4 linked regions of the Saccharomyces cerevisiae S288C genome follow. The protein of the gene in region 1 interacts with the protein of each later gene in a biochemical or structural test. Each region holds a gene or a part of one and is shown on either strand. Other genes may lie near its edges. The genes, in order: BUD6, BNR1, AIP5 and BNI1.

What was found.
Region 2: the proteins of BUD6 (region 1) and BNR1 form a complex in vitro, tested with the Saccharomyces cerevisiae proteins (3 studies listed by BioGRID).
Region 3: the proteins of BUD6 (region 1) and AIP5 form a complex in vitro, tested with the Saccharomyces cerevisiae proteins (2 studies listed by BioGRID).
Region 4: the proteins of BUD6 (region 1) and BNI1 form a complex in vitro, tested with the Saccharomyces cerevisiae proteins (5 studies listed by BioGRID).

What each region holds. Positions count from the first base shown.
Region 1 is NC_001144.5:768,814-773,276, forward strand, and holds BUD6 (formin-mediated actin nucleation enhancer), read right to left. Parts: upstream 2,872-4,463; coding exon 505-2,871; downstream 1-504. Other genes in the region: EST2 (telomerase reverse transcriptase), read left to right, coding at 1-383; MMS22 (Mms22p), read left to right, coding at 3,127-4,463.
Region 2 is NC_001141.2:39,887-46,454, forward strand, and holds BNR1 (formin BNR1), read left to right. Parts: upstream 1-1,938; coding exon 1,939-6,066; downstream 6,067-6,568. Other genes in the region: SMU2 (Smu2p), read left to right, coding at 1-254; POT1 (acetyl-CoA C-acyltransferase), read right to left, coding at 305-1,558; AIM20 (Aim20p), read left to right, coding at 6,315-6,568. UniProt on the Saccharomyces cerevisiae protein: May organize microtubules by mediating spindle positioning and movement in the budding process. Potential target of the RHO family members.
Region 3 is NC_001138.5:176,508-182,270, reverse strand, and holds AIP5 (Aip5p), read left to right. Parts: upstream 1-1,527; coding exon 1,528-5,229; downstream 5,230-5,763.
Region 4 is NC_001146.8:129,342-136,902, forward strand, and holds BNI1 (formin BNI1), read right to left. Parts: upstream 6,043-7,561; coding exon 181-6,042; downstream 1-180. Other genes in the region: arginine permease ALP1, read right to left, coding at 6,599-7,561. UniProt on the Saccharomyces cerevisiae protein: Required for the assembly of F-actin structures, such as actin cables and stress fibers. Nucleates actin filaments. Binds to the barbed end of the actin filament and acts as a leaky capper, slowing both polymerization and depolymerization.

The sequences.
Region 1 (4,463 bases):
CGCTGTTTAACACTAGAATCTCTTATAAAACAATTGACACAAATTTAAATTCAACAAACACCGTTCTCATGCAAATTGATCATGTTGTAAAGAACATTTCGGAATGTTATAAATCTGCTTTTAAGGATCTATCAATTAATGTTACGCAAAATATGCAATTTCATTCGTTCTTACAACGCATCATTGAAATGACAGTCAGCGGTTGTCCAATTACGAAATGTGATCCTTTAATCGAGTATGAGGTACGATTCACCATATTGAATGGATTTTTGGAAAGCCTATCTTCAAACACATCAAAATTTAAAGATAATATCATTCTTTTGAGAAAGGAAATTCAACACTTGCAAGCATATATATATATATATATACATATAGTTAATTAGTACTAATAATACATGAAATACTGACAGCTTATGATGCTGATAAGGAAAATATTGCCGCAAACTTTGTAATAAGCCAAAAGCACTAATCTCTTTTCCGTTAGCTTTCATAAAATTAGTGTATTTAAGTAAACCCCGGCCCAAAATATGCTCTCAAATTTGCTTCATCCTTCTGCTTTCTTATCCTTTCTACTTCTTCAAAGCCTCCCGATTTTTTCAGGTTTGAATTACCCACAAAATTTTCCAGTTCATCATCAAATTCATTACTAGCTTTAAGTTTTCTTTCCATCTCCCACATCTTCTCAGCCTTGTCAATAGCTTCGACCCTACTATCGTGGTCAGGGTTTAAAGATTGGACGGCCACCATAACTTGCTCCCTTACCTGATTAAATGTGCCCGGTCTCATAATAGGCAAAATAGGATTACTTTTTGATCTCGAAGGGTTTTTTTCTTGTTCTTCACAACATAACTTAATAAGATCGAAAGTTTCTAATGCCTTACCCAAGTCTTCCTTCAAATCTAAAATCAACTCTTCCTGCAACGTGAGAAACTGTTGTTCTTCACAGACCTTATCGAGCTCAGCTTCCCAAGTTTTTTTCCAATGTGGTTTTTCAGTATCAATAAACTCCTGTAGTTTAAGTACATCTGCTTGGGCATTTTCTAAATCCTTGGATACGGTTTCTAGCTTCTTTTTAGCGGGCTGAGACCTACGCTCAGCAACGTCTTTCCTCATAATTTCGATTACATCTTGCAAATCATCTACTTTACTTAGCAGAGTATCGGATAAATCACCGAGTTCGGTCTGTGATTTTTCCATGTACATTCTGTTGGAAGAGTTTTTGGCAGAAAATGATAAAGACTTAAAGTTATCGACCTTTCGTAAAATGTTGAAAATAGTCTCATTAATATTTGACCTATTAATATTATGCACTTGTTTTATTTTCCCCAATTCGTACTGAATATCTTTGATCGTTTTATCATCATCTTTTTTGTTTTGCCCCACAAGATCGTGTTTGTTAGCTTCAAGGCCAGGTTGTGGTAAAACTTCCGTTTGCTTGCCGCTAATTGCAGAACCAAAACTCATTTCTTTTAAATGTCTTATTATATCATTCTGACTATTCGATATCTCCATCTTAACTGTGTCAATGAATTCCTTGATCGTATTATTTGGATTCTCTTCGAGCTTTAGCTCGATAACAAACCCTTCTTTAATATCGAGAAGATTTAGTTCCTCTAATTCATAGAATACTCCATATTGAGGATCCATAATATATATGTCTGGGAAGGAATTTGCTCCAGGAGAATACGCAAAGCGCTCAATAAATAGGAGCCTTAATGCGTTTTTTGTAGTAGGCAGTTGCACATGACACTTCTTTGTTTTGTCTCCTATCCTTAAAAATACTGGACAAGTTCCATTCATGGCTTTATCTGGCGAAGTTGTAACAACGCTTGATAATCTTCGTGGAGATGCACGAACATTCTCAATAGGCAATGGCGTTTTCGCCAATGGACTCGCCTTTGATACATCGTCAATGCTTTTACCCTTATTTTCAGCTGAATTAATGTTTCTATCATCATCATTGTTGTTATTTCCGTATAACTTTGACTTTCTTACGGTTTCCTCTAGATGCAACATCGAGGGTGAAGGAGTTGTCATGAGGCCGGCAGCCGCAGCAGCTTCTGTTGTAGACTGATTTGTCAATTTAGCCATATGGTAGGCAGAGTATCTCTTTGAGGCTCTCCTTTGTAAATTAGTTCCCTTCTTCAATTGTGAAAGTGCATCATCATCATCAGATGCGTTTGGAGCATTGTTAGATTTAAGGTTTTGTTTAATATTAGTTCTTGGTTTTGTCAATGTTGCCTCTGCTGACTGAGCAGAGGGTGTTCCCGTAGAAGTAGAATTCACTTTTTCCCCATAGCTGTTTTCGACTGAATCGCTTTGCCTCTGATCACGTACAATACTGCTTTTTCTGCTACTTAATGGAGTCCCCTCACGGGTCCCTTCACTACCCAATGAAAGGTTACTAGTAAAGGAAGGGTTTTGTTGATGATGTGATTTTACACTTATCCGATGCTCTTGCTGCATATTCTTCAAAATTGCTTGTTTAACCTTTAGTTTGTCTAAAAGTGTCACTATAATCTCTCTGATTTTTGGCAGATGTTTATTTAAAGTTTCATCAGATGGTGGTTCCCTCAATGTCACTTCCAATACACGTCTTAAAGCCATTGGCACATCACCAACATCTGACATGTCAACTTTCGCATGCATGAAGAATTTCGATACGACTTTGAAGTCATTGCCCAACTGAACGTATGCATCAGATACTAATCTTCCAGAGGTTGTCCCCTTAGACCATTGTGTTAAGACCTGGAGGAGGTGCTTGGTGGACATCAGCAACTTTGTTACTGTCGTTTCAATACTACTACTGCTAGAAGCAGTTCTTTTAATCTTTGGGGTGCCATACGTAGGGTCATCCACGGCCATCTTCATCTAATTTTAAAATAATACGAGGATTACTACACCAATTTGGCAGCCAGCTTCTACTCTTTTTCCCTTTTCTTGGGTTTGTTTTGATGCCATTATCTCAAGAATGCATAATAGTAGGATAAAATTCGTTCAGCTCGGCTAGCGAGATATCTTCAAAGAGTAAAGCGCATCTGCGTGTAAAATTAAATTCAAGAAGTGAAAGAATAAAAGATAGGATTGTAGATTTGAAGTTTAGTGGTAGCGTCAGCAGATAAGCTTATGGATGTTGATGAACCGAATCCTATTGTGATATCAGATTCTGAGGCCACTGATGAGGAAATTAGTATCATATACGAACCCGAATTCAATGAAAATTATTTATGGGCAGAGGAAAACGTCCAAGAAGCAAGCAGATCACAGAAAATTGTCACTGAGAGGTTGAGCCTGGATTCCACTGCTGGAGAATCTTGTACTCCTTCCGTAGTAACTGATACACAAGTTACTACGGGGCTTCGGTGGTCTTTGAGGAAGAGGAAGGCTATTCAAAAGATGCCATACAGTTTAGAACGCATAAAGCATAGGCAGTTGCTAGAGGGCTATGATATCTCTAGTTTTGACAGCATTTCGAATCAGTTGACCTTACCGAAGAACGCTTCTACAGTGATTCACTCAAATGATATTTTACTTACAAAGAGAACTGGTAAACCCTTAGATGAGCAGAAAGATGTTACAATCGACTCCATTAAACCCGAAAACAGCTCGGTTCAATCTCAAAGATATGATAGTGATGAAGAAATACCAAAGAAAAGGCATCGTACTTTTAAAGACCTCGACCAGGATATAGTATTTCAATCAGGTGATTCTACGGAAGATGAACAAGACTTGGCTAGTACAAATTTACAGAATACTCAAAATGACGAAGTAATATTTAGAGGAAGAGTATTGAATGTAAGAACTGGTTACCGTGGGGTCCTGCCAAGAGTTGCTTGGGAAAAGTCGTTGCAAAAGCAGCAGTCTTCAAAAGTCACGAAAAGAAAAACTCAATTATTGAACCATAAGGGTGTGGCTAAGAGGAAAATGAACAGAAGCGCCCATATTGAAGATGAAGAACAGAACTTATTGAACGATCTTATTGCACCTGATGACGAACTGGATATCGAGGAAAACGCCCCTCCAGATATATACTTAGGAAATCTTCCAGAGGATCGTGAGGCTAACGAAAAGGAATTAAAGGAATTGCAAGAATATTATGAGAGCAAGTATAGTGAAGACGCACAATCGGCTGGAACTTCTGGTTTTAATTTAAATGAGGAATACCGCAATGAACCAGTGTATGAGCTGGAATATGACGGACCGGGGAGCTGCATATCACATGTGTCTTATAAAGACCAGCCTATTATTTATTTGAATTCACGGCATTCAGATAGCGGATTTAGTGAGCAATACAATATATCTGCCGAAGATAATCAAAGTGTAATTTCCCTAGATGCTGCTGAAGAGCATAACGATGGTATAATTGACAAGATGTTGGTTAAACCTAAAAGAATTAAAGCAACCAATGATGCCAACTTTTTGAATACAAAAAGTAAGAGAGTGAGAAGATATAAGTACAAATA
Region 2 (6,568 bases), on another chromosome or scaffold:
TGAAAATTTTATTCAACATACCTTTGGATTATCCAAAGGCCCCAATAAAACTAACGATGAAAAGTAATGAAGAAGTTTCCTCTTACATGGACACCGTGATAGCGAATTTCAACTGGAAAGCCCGTCAATTGGTTAAGGAGGACTGGAGGATATTATCTCAAATAAACTATTTGGTTAGTGAGTTAGAAATATTGAAAATGGAAAATTATAAACAAATTGATAAACTACGTAATAGCTTTTACAAAACCATATAAATATGAGCATAATAAAAAGGGAGAATATTAACTATTATCAAGTATTAAAACTATTCTTTAATAAAGATGGCGGCGGCACCCATACCAGTACCGATACACATACTAACAACCCCGATTTGATCCTTTTTCAGTTCTCTTAGTATGGTAGCTACTTGCCTTGCGCCAGTACAACCCAAGGGATGGCCTAACGCGATTGCACCACCTCTTGGATTTACTTTATTCAAATCGATGCCCAGTTTATGGATGCAGTATAATGCTTGGGCCGCGAATGCTTCATTTATTTCAAAAATATCGATATCTTGGACTTGCAAGCCAGTAGCTTCCAGGACTTTTGGTATGGCGTATGCAGGGCCCACACCCATGATTTCAGGGGGAACCCCCACTGTTTGAAAATCGATGTAGCGACCTAGCACAGGCAGATTTAACTGGTTGGCTACGGACCTGCGGGCTAACAAGACACCTGCCACACCATCGGAGACCTGGGATGCATTGCCCGCAGTTGTGGTTCCTCTGTCTTTGATAAAGGCAGGCCTGATGCTTGAAAGCGACTCCGCAGTGACGTTAGGGCGTGGCCCTTCGTCCGACTGGCAAATTGAGCCATCTGGTAATTTTATAGGTAAAATTTCATCTTCGAAAAGCCCCTCATTTTTCGCCTTGTAAGCTTTTTGATATGAATTCGCAGCGAACTCGTCTTGATCCTTTCTACTGATCTTGAAATTAGCGGCAACATTCTCATTAGTAATGCCCATTGGTATTAGACATTTCTTCGCTTCTCGGTTTTTTTGCAGCTCTTCAGAGGAGATCATGCCCAAGGGATTGACGTTTTTGTAGTTATTGGTCATTGATTCCACTCCCAGCGCCAAACCAATATCAATTTGCCCAACCTTAATCTTGTTGGCAATATCGTTCACCGCCGTTAAACCTGAAGAACATTGTCTGTTTAAAGCGACAAATGGCGTCGAGTAGGGAATCCCACTTGCCAAGCATGCAGCCCTGTGTTCTGTAGCACCGGCTCCAACATTGAGAACATTTCCACAGGCAACTTCTTCGATTAAGTTCAAATCAGCCCTCAAAGGTTCCGGAAACCTCCCGATGAACTCATTGAGAAAGTTGTATAATAAGTAGTCTGTGTTTACATCTTTGAAGGCACCTTTAAAACCTTTACCGATGGCAGACCTGTTAGCAGCCACAATAACTACATCTTCGGGTCTTTTCTCCAGCAACGAGTTCTTCCTCTTCGATTCACCCTTACCCATGGCGCTCTCCACCAAATGATCCTTGATACTTTGTAGTCTTTGAGACATTGCTTTTATGTAGTGTTATATTCACTCTGTACTCAGAGCCACAAGAAATAACCATTCGATTTCAATAGAACTGAGATGCAAAAGTATACCCTATTTATATCTCTTCTTTCTAGTAAAACTCCAATAAATTTGAAACCAATAGAGGGAGAAAGGAAAAAAAAGCTGCGGTGTTAATACTATTATCCCCGTTTCCCTTTGATAGCGCCTTACACGGCGCTACCACATCATTACCCTCCTCATGTTGACGCGTCAAGTTTTTTTTCTTTTTTCGCTATTTGTGGCATAGGTTCAAAACTAGCAAATTCTTGATCTTTTGAAGATTACATAGTGATGATGATCGTGACACAAAAGCAGATAAAAAAATAGCACAATCATCAGCGATGGACTCTTCCCCGAACAAGAAGACGTACCGCTACCCTCGCAGATCGCTGTCACTTCACGCGCGTGATAGGGTCAGCGAAGCCCGTAAATTGGAAGAATTGAATTTGAACGATGGGCTGGTTGCCGCTGGCTTGCAGTTGGTCGGTGTAGCGTTAGAGAAACAAGGTACAGGATCACATATATACATGAAACAGAAGAATTTCTCAGCTAATGACGTTTCTTCGTCACCAATGGTTTCCGAAGAAGTGAACGGATCGGAAATGGATTTTAATCCGAAGTGCATGCCTCAGGACGCATCACTCGTCGAAAGAATGTTTGATGAGCTTTTAAAAGATGGAACTTTTTTTTGGGGGGCTGCTTATAAGAATTTACAAAACATCTCTCTACGAAGGAAATGGTTATTGATATGTAAAATCCGTAGTTCCAATCATTGGGGGAAAAAGAAAGTGACTTCGAGCACGACATACTCTACACATTTGGCCACTAATGAACTAGCTGAAAACGCACACTTTTTGGATGGCCTAGTTAGAAACCTTTCAACAGGTGGCATGAAGTTATCGAAGGCTCTATATAAACTAGAAAAATTCCTGCGAAAGCAAAGCTTTTTGCAACTTTTTCTCAAGGATGAAATTTACTTGACGACATTGATCGAAAAGACTTTGCCACTCATATCCAAGGAATTACAATTTGTTTATCTTCGGTGCTTTAAAATACTGATGAACAACCCACTGGCGAGAATAAGAGCACTACATTCTGAGCCTTTAATTCGCTGGTTCACCGAGCTTCTGACGGATCAAAATTCTAATTTGAAATGTCAGTTACTTTCTATGGAGTTACTTTTATTATTAACGTATGTTGAGGGTTCCACGGGTTGTGAGTTGATATGGGACCAGCTTTCCATATTATTCACCGATTGGCTAGAATGGTTTGACAAAATCCTTGCGGATGATATTGCAATTCATTCATCCCTTTATTTGAACTGGAACCAATTAAAAATAGACTATTCGACAACTTTCCTACTGCTAATAAACTCCATACTGCAAGGTTTCAACAACAAGACTGCACTAGAAATTTTGAATTTTTTGAAAAAGAATAATATACATAACACTATCACATTTTTAGAACTGGCCTATAAAGATGATCCTAATAGTGTCGTGATCATGGAACAAATAAAACAATTCAAATCCAAAGAATCTGCGATATTTGACTCGATGATAAAAACTACCAACGATACGAATTCGCTTCACCCAACAAAAGATATCGCAAGAATAGAAAGCGAGCCTCTATGTCTTGAAAATTGCCTGTTATTGAAGGCAAAAGATAGTCCCGTAGAGGCACCAATAAACGAGATTATTCAATCGCTGTGGAAAATCTTAGACTCTCAAAAACCATACTCAGAATCTATTAAACTATTAAAATTGATAAATTCTTTGCTGTTTTATCTCATAGATTCCTTTCAAGTGTCAACGAATCCTTCTTTTGATGAAACCTTGGAGTCCGCAGAAAATGTGGATTATGTTTTTCAAGATTCTGTTAATAAATTGTTGGATTCTCTACAATCTGATGAAATTGCTAGAAGAGCGGTCACAGAAATTGATGATCTTAATGCTAAGATTTCTCATTTGAATGAAAAATTAAATTTAGTAGAAAATCATGATAAAGATCATTTAATAGCAAAACTAGATGAAAGTGAATCTTTGATATCTCTGAAAACCAAGGAAATTGAAAATCTGAAACTGCAGTTGAAGGCAACCAAGAAAAGACTAGACCAAATTACCACGCATCAAAGGTTATATGACCAGCCACCTTCATTGGCAAGTAGCAACTTGAGTATTGCCGGCTCGATAATAAAAAATAATAGTCATGGAAATATCATTTTCCAAAATTTAGCAAAAAAGCAACAGCAGCAGCAAAAAATTTCTCTGCCCAAGCGTTCAACTAGTCTACTAAAAAGTAAAAGAGTTACGTCCCTTTCATCATATTTAACTGATGCAAATAACGAAAATGAGTCCCAAAATGAATCCGAAGATAAATCAAAAGACTCATTATTTCAAAGATCTACGTCAACCATTAATTTTAATATCCCTTCTATGAAAAATATTACTAATATGCAAAATGTCTCTCTAAATTCGATACTTTCAGAGTTGGAATTTTCAAATAGCCTAGGAACACAACCTAATTACCAATCGTCTCCCGTGTTGTCTTCGGTTTCTTCTTCACCAAAACTTTTCCCTCGACTTTCCTCAGATAGTCTTGATAATGGAATCCAACTAGTACCTGAAGTTGTTAAACTACCTCAACTTCCACCGCCCCCTCCTCCACCTCCCCCTCCTCCACTTCCACAGTCTCTTTTGACTGAAGCAGAAGCTAAACCGGATGGTGTTTCCTGTATTGCAGCACCTGCACCGCCACCCCTTCCAGATCTATTTAAAACTAAAACTTGTGGCGCCGTTCCACCACCACCACCGCCACCGCCTTTACCCGAGTCCTTGTCGATGAACAAAGGCCCCTCCAATCACGATTTAGTTACTCCTCCAGCTCCACCTTTACCAAATGGTCTTCTTTCTTCCTCCTCAGTGTCTATCAATCCAACGACAACCGATTTAAAACCACCTCCAACTGAAAAGCGATTGAAGCAAATCCACTGGGATAAGGTGGAGGATATCAAAGACACACTTTGGGAAGACACGTTTCAACGCCAAGAAACAATCAAAGAATTACAAACTGATGGTATATTCTCTCAGATTGAAGATATTTTTAAGATGAAAAGTCCGACTAAGATTGCAAATAAAAGGAACGCAGAATCCTCAATTGCCTTGTCTTCAAACAATGGCAAGTCTTCCAATGAGCTGAAGAAAATTTCATTCTTATCAAGAGATTTGGCTCAGCAATTTGGTATTAATTTACACATGTTTTCCCAATTATCTGATATGGAATTTGTTATGAAAGTATTGAACTGTGATAACGACATTGTCCAAAATGTTAACATACTGAAATTTTTTTGTAAAGAAGAGTTAGTAAATATACCAAAAAGTATGCTTAATAAGTACGAGCCATATTCACAGGGTAAGGATGGTAAAGCAGTAAGTGACTTACAAAGAGCTGACAGAATATTTTTGGAGTTGTGTATCAATTTAAGATTTTATTGGAATGCAAGATCAAAGAGTCTGCTGACATTGTCAACATACGAGAGAGATTATTACGATTTGATTTTCAAGTTACAAAAAATTGATGATGCAATTTCACACTTAAATCGTTCACCTAAATTTAAAAGTTTGATGTTTATTATCACGGAAATAGGCAATCATATGAATAAAAGAATTGTTAAGGGTATCAAATTGAAGTCATTGACTAAACTTGCCTTTGTCAGATCCAGTATTGATCAAAATGTATCATTTTTGCATTTTATTGAAAAAGTCATAAGAATAAAATATCCTGATATATACGGTTTTGTGGATGATTTGAAGAACATTGAAGATTTAGGTAAAATCTCACTAGAACACGTTGAATCAGAGTGTCATGAATTTCATAAAAAAATTGAGGATTTAGTTACTCAGTTTCAAGTAGGAAAGCTATCCAAAGAGGAGAACTTAGACCCCAGAGATCAAATTATTAAAAAGGTCAAGTTTAAGATTAATCGGGCCAAAACAAAAAGTGAATTATTGATTGGTCAATGTAAATTAACTTTAATAGATTTGAATAAACTGATGAAATATTACGGTGAAGATCCCAAAGATAAAGAGAGTAAAAACGAATTTTTCCAACCCTTTATTGAATTTTTAGCCATGTTTAAGAAATGTGCCAAGGAAAACATTGAAAAGGAGGAAATGGAAAGAGTGTACGAACAAAGGAAGAGCTTGTTAGATATGAGGACAAGCAGTAATAAGAAAAGCAATGGAAGTGATGAAAACGATGGTGAAAAAGTAAACAGGGATGCTGTTGATCTACTCATATCTAAATTACGCGAAGTAAAGAAGGATCCAGAACCTCTAAGAAGAAGAAAGAGTACAAAACTCAATGAAATAGCCATTAACGTACATGAAGGAGATGTAAAAACGAGAAAGGATGAAGATCACGTTTTACTAGAGAGAACGCATGCTATGCTGAACGATATTCAAAATATATAGTGAAGACTTAGTATTTTATGTAGTTGTGGAGCTTATATAAAGAAATGGACAATATTCGCAATCGCTTCTCAAAAGGGAAATATTTTCCCTTTTCGGGCGGTGGTCGTGTTGACAAATTTCCTAGTTAAGAACTAAGATTTGGAGATGGACAGATTCATTAATAAATTTCAAAATAAGCACAGAAAGCATCGAATTTTTAGCTCAAAACAATCTACTTTTCAATCATCAAAACAGACTATTGAATAAAGATGGGCAATGTGTCTGTGGCAGTGGGAACGGCAGTTGGGATTCCAATTGCTGTGGGCGTAATAATAGCCCTGATATTTTGGTGTAAATTACAACGACGTTACAAAAAAGAAGAGATTAGAGATGCTGATTTGGAGAAGATGGTAATGGAAGAAGTGGCAGTGTCGGTATATGATGGTTTTAAAGCCGAAATTAACAGCTCAAGTGAAGCTTCCACGATAAACGAAAAGGAAGCAAACCAGGATCTTAAACCCTG
Region 3 (5,763 bases), on another chromosome or scaffold:
CTCCCTAGTGTCGTCCACACCTACCCACTCATACATATGTACGTAACGTCAATCTCTTTAGCTTCTTTTCTACATTTTTTTGTATATGTACCAAAACGTTGCGCATATTCTTCACTCATTTGCTCCCGTGGCTCGGCGGCTATTTTTCTTTTCCTACGGAGCGGACTGTGGTGCTTACGTGATAACAAACAACCCGAGACAAGATCCAATCATTGTCTGACTGGTATTCCTGCCACCATATTAAAAGATAAGACGGTCGAAAGATAATACATAAAGATAGGTGGAAATTGAGATAAAACCAGTCCAAAAATTCTAGATATATCTAGATATAGAACCAATTTTTTTTTCCCTTGTTTTTGATATGTTCCTTCGCTATCCTATTACGTTATTCATTCTTGCATTTCTGATTCCCTAGACTTGTTGACCGCCTATCGCCATTTAAGTTACCTTCTTTATTATATATTACTATATAGTGTTGACATGAATATTGTCAATTATAACAGTTAATTCCTATTTCAACGGGCACAAGTTACAAAAAAACTTAATCTGTTTCAGATGTCATTTTTATTTAGTAAAACTTGAAACGTACAATAAAATGACAGCGATATCGTGTAGAACTATCAATTCATTTCAATGGATTTCTGTACCCTCACGAATAGTTTAGATTATGTTATATAGGCGTGGTGATAATGCGATACTTTTTTTATTGACATAGTATTCATGACAGTACCTCTGCACAAAATAAAGTGTTTTCCGCGATCCGTACCTAACGTTGCCGCATGTTCGGTGAGAATTGGGAGAATAATTTGATAATTACTGGAGTTTCATTGTTGGTAAAGGCTATAATATGATGAATACAGAATGTACTAAATCCTCTCATTTCAACATATACGACCTAATTTTTATGAAGCTCCCTCGTCTTATTTTGTTTTGAATACTTGCCGGTGGTAATCGCATCATTTTCAAATTTAATTTCAAAATTATATATTCTAACTCTCAACTCCTTTCAATCTTGAGGTGCCCGCTGTTGTAAACAAGACTTCAGACCTACTAAAAAGGTGGGGAGTGCTCAAGAACTCGGATGTAAACTAACTAATAAGTGCTTATTGAGAAAGATAAGAATACAGAGACAATTGTTGCCTCGTGGCGGGGCTATTTACAGGTATTTCTGGTTAATGTTGGAGCTGTTGTGACCTTATTAGAACACGAACACTTCCAAGAAATAAGCGCAAGTGGTTTAGTGGTAAAATCCAACGTTGCCATCGTTGGGCCCCCGGTTCGATTCCGGGCTTGCGCAGTCCTTTTTTTAAGGATAAATTTATCCTAAAGCTTCCGAGAATATAACAGACAAGATGAAAATATTTGTTAAGTTTCTGAACACGAAATTGTCGTATATTTTCCCTTAATATTTCGTAGTCACTTCGCATATAAGCAAGTGGTTTTATTCCAGAACACTTTCTCTTTTTAAACCTGTTAGCAATTATTGTACTGGTGTGCTTGATTACTCTGGATTAAATAAAGAGTGACATGGTAGAATCTTTGACTGTAGAAAATCAGGAACACAATGTTCAACCCCCATCGGTAACTAGTGCTGGAGATTCGTATTCGACACTTGCTACAGATCTTCCCTTACCAAGTACGAATGATATTATAGAAAGTCGAGATCAACTTACAGAAAGTGACTTAGATGAAGCGATAAATGCCACTGAGAATTTTGCACAGGAATTATCATCTCAAAGGAAATCTTCTAAATTGAAAGGTCATAAAAAGAAAAACCAGGGACAAATAAAGGCGAATCGTGACAGAGATACTATTGTAAAACTTTCCAGTTCTGTTGGTGAAACCGAGGAAGCTTCCACACGGGATGCAATCTCTCATGATTTGGAAAGAAAAGACGACGTAATAGAGATAGCCACAGATACAATAAATGACGCTACAGAATCTCCCACACAGATCCCAATAGACGTCAATGTAGTTATCAAAGAAACTTCTACTAACAATGTAGCGGAAGGCACAGAAAATGTACCACCAATCAAAGAATCCACAGGAATTGAGGTTGGCAATAGCCCAATTACGAGAAGAAAAAAAAACAAAAAGAAAAAAACCACGAATAGAAGAGGTCGTAATTCTTCAAATCCTGCAGATACTACTGATTTGTCAAAACAGTCAACTTTAGATTCCATACTAGTAGGCATTGAAGAGTACCTACAGGAAGATGGTTCAAAGAACGAGGATATCAAAGTAAATATTGTCCAAGATGAGCCTGTTAATGTCGAAAAAATGGATATCAGAACCAGAAATGAATCTAGTGACAAAACCTTCGACATAGATGTGCCTAACAAAGATAATGTTGACGAAACTTCCTCAAAGTCCGAGAACAATATCAACGAGGAAAAGGCAGAACATACCTTACCTCGAGAAGAGAATGAGATCTTAAATGTTAATGAGGGAAATGCAGCTTCTTTTAAACACCAACTAGAGCCGCACGGTTTGGAGGCAGGTGATGAAAATGGGCAAGCGTCTACTAAGGATGTTGAAAGTGAAAGTTTAACTAAGAATGGGTTTAATTTCAAAGAGAACGAATCAAAACATTTGAAAGCTGGGGAAAAGCAGCAGACTGAAAGTGATAGAGACGGAATAAGTCCTTCAGTTCTTGCAAAAAATCAGAAAGAAACAGAAATCGGGAAAGAAGACCATGTTTTTGAACAGAAGGATAAAGAAGACGAAAAATGTAGGAAAGAATTATCTGTTAATCATGAGAATAACATGAGCCATAATTTTAACGCAGCTGGTAGTGATAGTATCATCCCTCCAGAAACTGAGCGAGAGACTTATGATGACGAAACGATGGGACCAACAAAGCGCATTAGTGACAATGAAAAAAATCTACAACACGGTACTAACGATATATCTGTAGAAGTTGAAAAAGAAGAAGAAGAAGAAGAAGAAGAAGAAGAAAATTCGACTTTTTCAAAAGTTAAAAAAGAAAATGTAACCGGGGAGCAAGAAGCTGTAAGAAATAATGAAGTGTCCGGTACCGAAGAAGAATCTACATCAAAAGGAGAGGAAATTATGGGGGGAGATGAAAAGCAGTCAGAAGCGGGAGAAAAATCTTCCATTATTGAAATAGAGGGAAGCGCAAACTCTGCAAAAATTTCTAAAGATAACCTTGTTCTTGAAGATGAAGCTGAAGCACCTACTCAGGAAAACAAGCCTACGGAAGTTGTCGGAGAAATCGATATACCTGACGCGCCTAGGGATGATGTAGAGATTGTTGAGGCTGTGGAAAAAAATATAATACCTGAAGATCTCGAGGTTGCCAAAGAAGATCAAGAAGGGGAACAAGTCAAGCTGGATGAACCTGTTAAGGCCATGAAAGATGATAAAATAGCAATGAGAGGTGCTGAGTCTATCAGTGAAGACATGAAAAAGAAGCAAGAGGGGACTGCTGAGCTTTCCAACGAGAAAGCAAAAAAAGAGGTTGATGAAACAGCAAGAGAAAGTGCAGAAGGTGTAGAGGTTGAGAAATCGAAGACTCCTGAGTCTCCAAAAGTAGTTAAGCGTTGTACCTCCGGAAGACCAGAAGATCTTCAAATCAACGAAAGAGATCCTGAGGTTCTAAAGGAAGATGTTAGAGTTCCCGATGAAGATGTAAAGCCAGAAATTGCAACAACCATTGAGAATTCCGAAGAAGAAGATCCCAAATCCCAGCGCGTTCAAATTTCAACAGAACAAGCTGAAACTACACAAAAGGATATGGGAGATGTAGGATCTACTACTAGTTTCAAAGAAGAAGAAAAACCCAAACGCTTTGAAATTACACAAGAAGGCGATAAAATCACCGGCAAAGATACAAATCATGAACATGGTGAAGCTACTGAGGCTGCGAGCGAAAATTCAAAAGCAAGTGATGTTGGAACTGCCGAAAAATATATAGAACCTAGCAGCGAATCTGTCAAGAAGGACACCGAGGAAGATGCAGAAGTGGAGAATTCCGAAAAAACTGAATTTATCAAGGTAAAGGCAGAGCTTGAAAATCTTGACGCTCCAAAAGAGGCAGAAGTCACTGCTGAACTGAATAAAGAAAATGAAGATGTGGAAGTTGACACCGAGGAAGATGCAGAAGTGGAGAATTCCGAAAAAACTGAATTTATCAAGGTAAAGGCAGAGCTTGGAAATCTTGACGCTCCAAAAGAGGCAGAAGTCACTGCTGAACTGAATAAAGAAAATGAAGATGTGGAAGTTGCTGCAACTTCAAAAGAAGACATCGAAACAAAATGTTCGGAACCTGCTGAGACTCCAATAGAGGATGGAACATGTACGGAGGCAGAAGTTTCAAAAAAGGATGCGGAAGCCGTGACAAAAGAAGACGAGAATATGGAAAATTCTAAGATTGCTGAGGCGCTCAAAGATGTCACCGGAGATCAAGAGATCGACGATATCAACATTTCAGACGAATTTCAAAGGACAGTCGAATTGCCAGAATTGGAAAAACAAGATATAAAGGATAATAAAGGAGAAGACAAGGAATTGGAAGTAGAAGAAACAGAGAAAGAAACTTCTCTTCCTGATCTTGTAGTGGAAGAAAACATCACGGAGGAAAAGAATGAAATTAAGCAAGAAGAAGAGGAGGTATCCCAGTTAGACTTCAATGAAACAGAGTCAATCAGTAAAGAAGCCCCAAACAATGACGAAAATGGATTTGAAGATCAAAGTACAAGGGAAAATCCCAAGAAAGCAAGTGCAGATGACATCTTCAAAGATATTTTGGACGAAACGAATGAGTTTTTAGAGCAACTAAAAATTGTTGATGATTCTGAACTAAACGCTCTACTCCAATCACTAGATGCGAAAGACTCCACAACTCAAACTACTGAGCAATCCAAGAAAAACAATGACAAGCCACAAGACGTAATAACGACTAGCGAGATCCGGAAGCTGAATGAAAAGGAACCTGTATATATATACACGTCACTAGCCGGAGGCGGTTTCCATATGATCCCCAGAACAAATCGCTTAAGCACAATCCTGACGGCCAACCGAATCCCGTTCACCTACAGAGATCTTGGCACAGATGATGAAGCGAGAAAAGTTTGGAAGACTTTCAGCAAGGGTAGGAGTCTTCCAGGTGTGGTCAGAGGACACAATGACTTAATCGGGAACTGGGAAGAAATAGAAGAAGCTAACGAAGACTACAAATTGCGGGAACTCATTTACGATACTATTTAAGAAAGCTTAAGCGCGCTACGTAACTAACATAATCTCTTGACAGCACATGTGATTTATAGTTCTCCTCCCACGTTTAACCCACATAAAACAAGGTAAAAGAAACCTTGTCAAATAATTGCTCTATTGACAGGAGCAAAGCTTGCCCAAAGAGGTTGCACAGAAGCGCCGTAAACGGAATCTTTCAGGGGCACAATTTCCCGATCGGTACGGCAAAGGCAAAAGCCACCTGCGCGGCTACTCAGGGACCATTTCCTGCCACAGAACTTCCCGTGAAACATGCCCCGGCCTATGGGTTCCTGGAACCCCCCACAAGTAATACCCCTTGGAGGATTTTTCAGAAAGAAAGCGAAGCTATTGTTAGCTGGTCAATTGAATAAGGGCAGACAAGAGGCTGTATGACTACAGTTGCATGCGGAGACGGCTTCAACAGCAACAGCAACAGGAAGTGTTCACACCAACGCACAGCCTACACCGGTGTATATAAACATAAACTCCTTCTTTTCTTCCCGCAACGGTTCTTCTTATTACCTTCCA
Region 4 (7,561 bases), on another chromosome or scaffold:
AATGCAATAGTAGAGATCATTTGAGTAAAGATGAATGTAAAGTGTATCATAAGTGATCTATAAACATTAAAATTATATATATATATGTGATTTAATGATTCGTGACTATTTCTTTGTACTAGTGCTTGTTTGGATGTTTGTTTTGGTATTACTGTTGTCATAATTTTTTGGTTTAATATTTTATTTGAAACTTAGCCTGTTACCTGTGCTAGCCTCACCTATGGATCTTTCCTTGCGGGCCCTCAATTTTTCTAGATGTTCATCGAGTATGGAATTTTGCTTTACTGGTGTGTCAGAGCCTCTTAGCTCCTTTAATAACATTCTAGCTCTGTCACTAATTTCCTCTTGATCTTCCAGCGCAGATGTCTTGGATGGCGATGGTAAATCTTCAGAGGTATTCATAACACCCCTTGTGGCAAGCGGAGTGGGTGATTCAGCGTGAATCACTGTATCGGCAGTAGGGTCCATAGCTTCTGGAGAATAAAGAATAGACCCTTCTTCAGTATCCAAATCGTTGAGTAATTGTGGAGCGTTGTCTTTTTCAGAAAGATATTTTTTCCTCACTAGGGCTCTCTTTCTGGCGGAAGATGGGTCACTTTTAGCAGGACCTGCATTTTTCAACTGTTCTAATAGTTTATCCATAACAGCGCGCCTATCTTCTGCTTCATCCTCTTCATTTCCTTCAGATGAAGGCGAATTGCTGTTCTCTTTTTGTTTTTCCTTTTCTTGTGCCCTTTTTTGCTGTTCTTCCACTATTTTCTTATGCTTTATATAAAGTCTTTCTTCTTCTTCCGCGGCTAGATTTTGCGCTTGAGCTTTTTTGTATTCATTTATAAAATCTGCAAATTTCTTAAAGAATGAGATTTTTGCAAACTTATCACCAGAATCTTCACCGTACGTATGCATCAGACTTTCAAATTCCATGATAGTCAGCTTAACTTCGTCTTCTAACAAGTCCCCCTTTTTTCTGGCTTCCGGTAACACGGGCAATGTTTTTATCAAAACTTTATCTAATGGATGAAACTTTGAGGAATCGCTTAAATTACCAATTTCAACTGAACGCTCTACGTTTACAATCGATTGGCTAAAGTCCTTACAGTCGTTAACTAACTGCTCAATGGAAACTTTCACGACATCCAATACAGGTTCTAATTCACTTAGAAAGTCATTGAAGCTTGGATAATTTAACCTGACAATTTTTTCGACGTAATTTAGAAAGGTCATGCTATTGGTAGTATCCTTGATAAACGTCAACCTCTGCAAGGTTGAAAGTTTGAAACCTTGTGCCTGCTTAGAAGTGTCGTTCATGAAATTACCAACTGCTAAGATAACATTAAAGACATTGCGCAAGTTATCTGATTCTTGAAGCGCGCTAACAGCTTTGTCGACTTTTCTTAACTTTGCCAATAACTCATTATATTCTCTTTCATACGAAGTAACCACTGTGAGAGCTCTCATACGTGAACCCCAGTATGATTCTAGATTAACCATCAATTGCAAATAAATTTGGTCAGCCCTCTGTAAATCGTTTGGATCTTTTTCAGGGGGCTTGGCATCTTCGAGATTCCTCACGCCCTCCCAGTCTGTCGAATACGGGGCGTAATTCCTAGCTAAATTAACAGAAACTTCAATTATTTCAGATTTTGACAAAAACTCAACAACACTCGGTGTTTGCAAAAAATCCCTATCGCAGTTTAGAATCTTTTTCACCAGATCGGCAACCGAAAGTGATGAATACATATGCAAATTGATACCAAACTGTTGAGAAATATCCCTGGATAAAAATGTAATTTTCTGCAGATCTTCCTTGCGCTTGCTTGCTAATGATTTAATTTCCCTAGCGGCAAAGGCCTTTTCTAAATCAGCAAGAACACCCTTTTCGTATAAGTCATCTGCGAACTTCTCAGCTTTACCTGTACCCCAAATAGAATTATCAGTACAATCTAATTTTTCCCAATGCAGTTGCTTTAATTTCTTGTGTGGACGAGGATACTTTTCAAATAATGAGGGCGATTGAGGAAGTAATGGTGATGTTACAGCTGATTTGATTTGCGATGCCGGCATCATAGGTGGAGCTGGCGGAATGACGCCATCAGTAGATGAAGATAATACAGATGGTAGCGGCGGCGGTGGTGGTGTTTCTCCCTTGGGTTTGCCGAACAATGCCATGGGTGGAGGAGGAGGTGGTGGTGGTGGAGGGGGAGGAGCAGGAGAATCCCCAGTAGTTTCTTGCTTGACAGTGTCGTCTTCCGACTTTTTCTCTTTCTCCAACGATTCACCGAACAATTTGGCGGGAACTGGAGGAGGAGGAGGAGGAGGCGGTGGCGGCTGTGAGGAGAGTACAGATGATTGAGTAGAGAGATCTTCTGCGCCATCTGTATTATTCAGTTTACTCACAGCGCTGAAATCCGCTGTTTTATCTTCTTCATGATTTACCACACGCCCTTGCTTTCCGTTTTCCACATGTTGTCTCATGTCTTTCTCAGCTTTGTCAAAGGCGGAAGCTGCACTTGCCGTGCTGTTTTCCGGTAAAGATTTTTTATCTAGACCTTCATCTTCATTTTGTTCATATGGTTCAACTTTATTTACCTTCTGTGTTAACTCCTCTAAATATGGAGCAGAAGACACGGTGGATTTTCTGAGTCTGTTCATAAAGGTCTTTTCAACTTTACTATGTAGAGGTCCAATACCCGAACCGTTATTGTTCTCTCCAAAAGCAGCCGATGCAGTAACATTTTGACCAGTACCATATTTTTGAGATAAGGCATCGAGAAAAGACCCAGGACCTGATCCTGAAGATAGCTCTGAGTGTTCGCTCCTTAGTTCTTGAGTTGGAGATGCGTCTTGGTATATTTCCTCACTTTCATCATCAGAACTTGAAGAGGAAAGATCGCTTTCCCCATCTTCTTCTACTTGTATTTCGTGTTCGGTTTGAGTCTGAATATCTAACAACTGGTCCGTTATTCTATTAATCTCGTCTAACTTTTTCTGATATGTCTTAGGGTCAAGACTGGCATAGTTAGCGTCTTCTTCCGTTTCCACGTCCCCAGTATTTTTCTTTGGACTGTCCATAATCTCGTCGACATTAAAGTCAATACCAAATCCTTTGTATTTTGTTTCTAGTTCTTTCAGTCTCTTTAAAGCCAGAGATTTCTTTTCATTAAATAGCTCATTAACACGTTCTTCGACGTTAAATTTGGAAATATCATTACTTTCCATTTGGATTTCAGCCAAAGCCCGCCTTAGGTCATTTAGTTTATTTACGTCCGCCTCTTGAGGCTTGACTAAAGGTTTCCTATCCTTATTTTTCATCTTCTTCACTTTGGGCTTCTTAATATGTATTGGAGGTTCAAGACGATCTTTCTCAAATTCAGCAAAATTTGTCATCTCTAGTTGCCTGGCTTCATTTTCAATATTTTCCATTTGCATTCTTAACATTTTTAATCTCTTATTAGGTTGAAGTGTCATGCCGAATTTTTTTGAATCATCCTTGTAATCCTTTTTTGCTCTTGATAATCCGTCCTGTAACACCTTTTGGATATTCGCTTTCTCTGAAGAATTTAGGCTCGAGTTCATACCTCTGGTGCCTTCATTCTTATTGAAGCTTTCTTCAGGCCTCGAATTCAATATAGTCAACATTTTTCTCAATTCTACCTCTTGCTGATGCTTTTCCAAAAGATGCTTCTTTTTCAACTCTTCTAACTCAGCTTCCAGCTGCTGCATAACTCTCTGATTCTTAGCTAAAATACGATCTCTCTCATGCAACTCATCTTCTAACTGTCCAACGAGTCCGTGCTCCGCCTTGCTTAACTTTTCACTTAAAGAATCCCTTTCTGCCTGAATTTCTTCCAATTTCTTCGTTAGAGCTCTACTTTCTAATATAGCTCGACGTGCAACTTCATCAGTCTGCATGGCATCGTAAAGCCGCTGGATAGCCATATTCATATTAGTTTCTTCATCAGAAGTTGAGGCAACACTAACATTAGTCACCAAAGAATCCATAAGTTTCAATTGCTTAGTAAGTTTAGAGGAATTTTGGTTTTCTTCTATTAACTTTGAACTAGAAAGGAAAAGATGTTGAACTAAAGATACTAAAAGCTTTTCATTCTCGGTACCTTTACATATATCCCAAAGGTTTTTTAATAATGATAGTGGATCGTGTAAATCTACATTAAAAGCCTTATTGTTGGCCTCTAATTTAACGTTAAAATCGTCAAGTTTATTATTGTCATATAACTCAATTTGGTCAATTACCTTGTCGTAATCTAGCAGTTTTATTTTGTTCATAATTCGTAAAATTCCACAATTTTCTAGTTTCGTCCTTAATAGCATTCTTTGATTTATGTTATCAGAGCAAGAGCATAAATGATTGATAAAAACCATTGTCCATTGGCAGTATTCTAGAATCGCATTTTCACCCCCACCATTTTTAAATTCATCCGACGCGCCTACTAAGGAACCCATTTTTCCTCTTCCATCTAAAGTTTGTTCAACGGCAAATAACCAGGCTTGAATAATTTTCAAATGACTTTCCAAGGTTAAATGAGAGAAATACTGGGGCATTTTTTTGAAGTTTTGAATCATATGAAGATTTTGCCCTATCCTAAACTTTTTATCTAGTGAGGTAAGAACTGCTTCGAATCTGCTTTTATTTTTTTTTTCTAGCATACAAACAAAAATTTCAGTGGCCATTTTCCTTGTGGCCAGTTTCGTAGAGAATAAACCTTCTGCAACAGTATCAGTCATTAACCTATGTGTACTGAACTCATACAAACCTTGTGAGAGCATTGATAAGACTCTGAAGCATTTAAAAAATGAATTTTCTTTCTCTAATAATTCTTTAGTCAAGTTTTCTCGGGGTGCAGTCTTATAAATAGAGTTCATTAGTACATTAGCCATAGCAATGTGACCCTGATGGTCTATAAAAGCGTCTACCCAGTCTAACTGTTCAGTTCTTAAAGTTACCCATAAATCTTTCATCTCATCGCTAGTAAGTTTGTCTGCCAGGATTCGTTGCACATAATGTATCGGTGGTCTGTTTGTTCTGTCTCCTGGAAGAGTAGATGCACTCGTATTGTTCTCAGCCCCACCTCTATAAATATTGTTTAGAGATGGCTGCTTTTTCAAACTCCCGCTCACTAATTTTTTCCCCTTCGAGGTTGACGTACCTACCGATGAAAGAGTAGTAGAATGATTTAAACTGTTGCTGTATACAGTTGAGGTGGGAGAAGAGGCGCTTGTCATCAAAACAGATTTGGGAGACGAAAGAGATGAATTAGCCGTAAGGATAGGATGATGGTCCGACGCCATCGAAGTTCTGGAGGCAGTGGAAGAAGATGTAGTGTTTGCTCGCATTTTTTTTAGCTCATTTTGTAAATCCTGCTTAACAATCAGCCATTTCTTCTCAATGCTGTAGCCCATCAGAGCTTCTTGTTTGTCCTCTGATAAAGACTGAAAAATATTTCTTTTATACATAATATCTTCAAACAAAACTTCCACCTCGTATGGGTCCGACGGCATTTCTAAATAAATTTTACCATCGGGTGTAGTGAATTTGCTCAAGTTAGTTAGCGAACCTTGAGAGAGAAGACTTGATGCGGAGTGACTTTGCCCGGTATGCTGCCTTGTTAGCTTATTGGACGCCTGTGAAGAATTCCTCTTGGAATACGAATATTTCGATTGCATTGAATGCGACCTTGCGTGCTGTGAGGATACGGGAACATCTCCACTTAATTTACCATTCATATATTGAGACAAGTTTTGTGTGTTTAATGTCGATTTTTTATTCAACGGCCTCGCCTCAGTAGATGTAGACCTAGAAGGTGCATTCAGTTTTCTAAAAGATGACGAAGATGCAGGTGAAGTGGACACTTCGTTTCCCACTGGAGAGTGCTGTTGTTGGGATGCATAGGTCGGAGAACCCGTATTGCTATTCGTTGCATTTGAGTTAGCCAAACGCTTCAAATTTTGGAATATACCAGAACTCGAATTCGAATGACTTTCCTTTGAGTTCGAATGTTTGGAGCCTGAATTCTTCAACATTTCCTTTCCTTCTCTTCCTTTCTTGCTTCTCGTTTGTTGAAAAGGTTCAGGTGCCTTCTTTATGTGGCGTGTATTTAGAATTTAACTAGGCTTGAGTTAAAATGTTTCTCCTCAATACAGAAGATAGATACAAATGGCAAAAAAAAAAGTAAAAAATGGCCCAACTGTATGAGACGTATAAAAAACGTGAAGGGTGAAGAAAAGAATGCCACTGTCCAATTTTATGCTTAATACGAAAATAATTAACACACAGCCGTCAGTGTCCTCTTATCTGTAGGAAGGGTCCGTGCTATTGTTCTTAAAAGGGATTCTAGTTTTCCACATCTGTTTTTTCTTTCTTTCCCTCTTCCACGTCAAAAACTTCCTCTAACCGATGTCGGGTAAGCCATGGAAATTACGGGCGATGACTTTCGGCGGCTAACAACGAAACAACTAGGGAGTAATCATATAATCACAGGAAAAGAGTTGAGCAAGGATTTGGCAAATATACATATACATACATACATACATACATACATATATATGTGTGTGTGTGGTATGGAGTATTATTCTAAAATTATGAAAGGACATCCCAAACTCGTTGCCACCTTGTTTTACATTCTGGCTCTATCCATACCAACTCCTCTATTTGCCGGCGGTCAGAATCGATATCGATATCCTGCAGCTTCCAGAGTAAGCGGCACTTAAACCAAACTTGGAATGATAACCATATGGCCAAAAATAGGAATATTGATATATATGCAGCGACAAAGTCTATAGGCTGAAAAGTAGGTGCGAAAGCGGTGAAGCCCTGGATCAGAACAATTAGAGCGATGAAAAAAGATGCATAATATGCCAAAAAAGGCATCATTTGAGCTTTATAAGGTAAGTCATCCCTCGATATACCACGTTTCCTTATGGCTTGCATGAAACGGATATGAGAAAATGAAATCAAAAGCCAGGCAAAGAAACCGGCCACACCAGTTATGTTCAATAACCAGTTAAAGGCCTTGCCGCTGCCTGCAGAAACCTCTAAGAAAGCCAAAAATCCGAACACGGATGTAGATAGAACAGAAAAGTATGGAACACCACCTCTGGTCACGTTAGACAAGAACCTTGGCGCCAAGCTATTTTTAGACAGACTATACAGTACTCTTGAGCCAATGTACACATTAGAGTTACCTGCGGAAAGAATGGTGATTAGCACGACCGCGTTAAATATATCTGGGAGAACTTTTGTGCCTGAATTCTCAATGCTTATCATAAAGGGCGATGAAGAGACAAATATACCGTCACTATCCAACTTTGGGTCATTATATGGGACCAAAAGGCCAATGAAAAATAGTGAAAGAATGTAAAAGACTAGAATCCTCACTACAACTTTCTTTATTGCCCTCGGGAGAGCTTTTCTTGGGTTAGCCGCTTCACCAGCGGTTATCCCAACCAGTTCAGTACCTTGGTACGTAAATGCAGCATTAATCAAAGAGGAAACCCATCCGAGAAAACGGCCCTCATTTTTATCACTGGAGATAATGCCAGG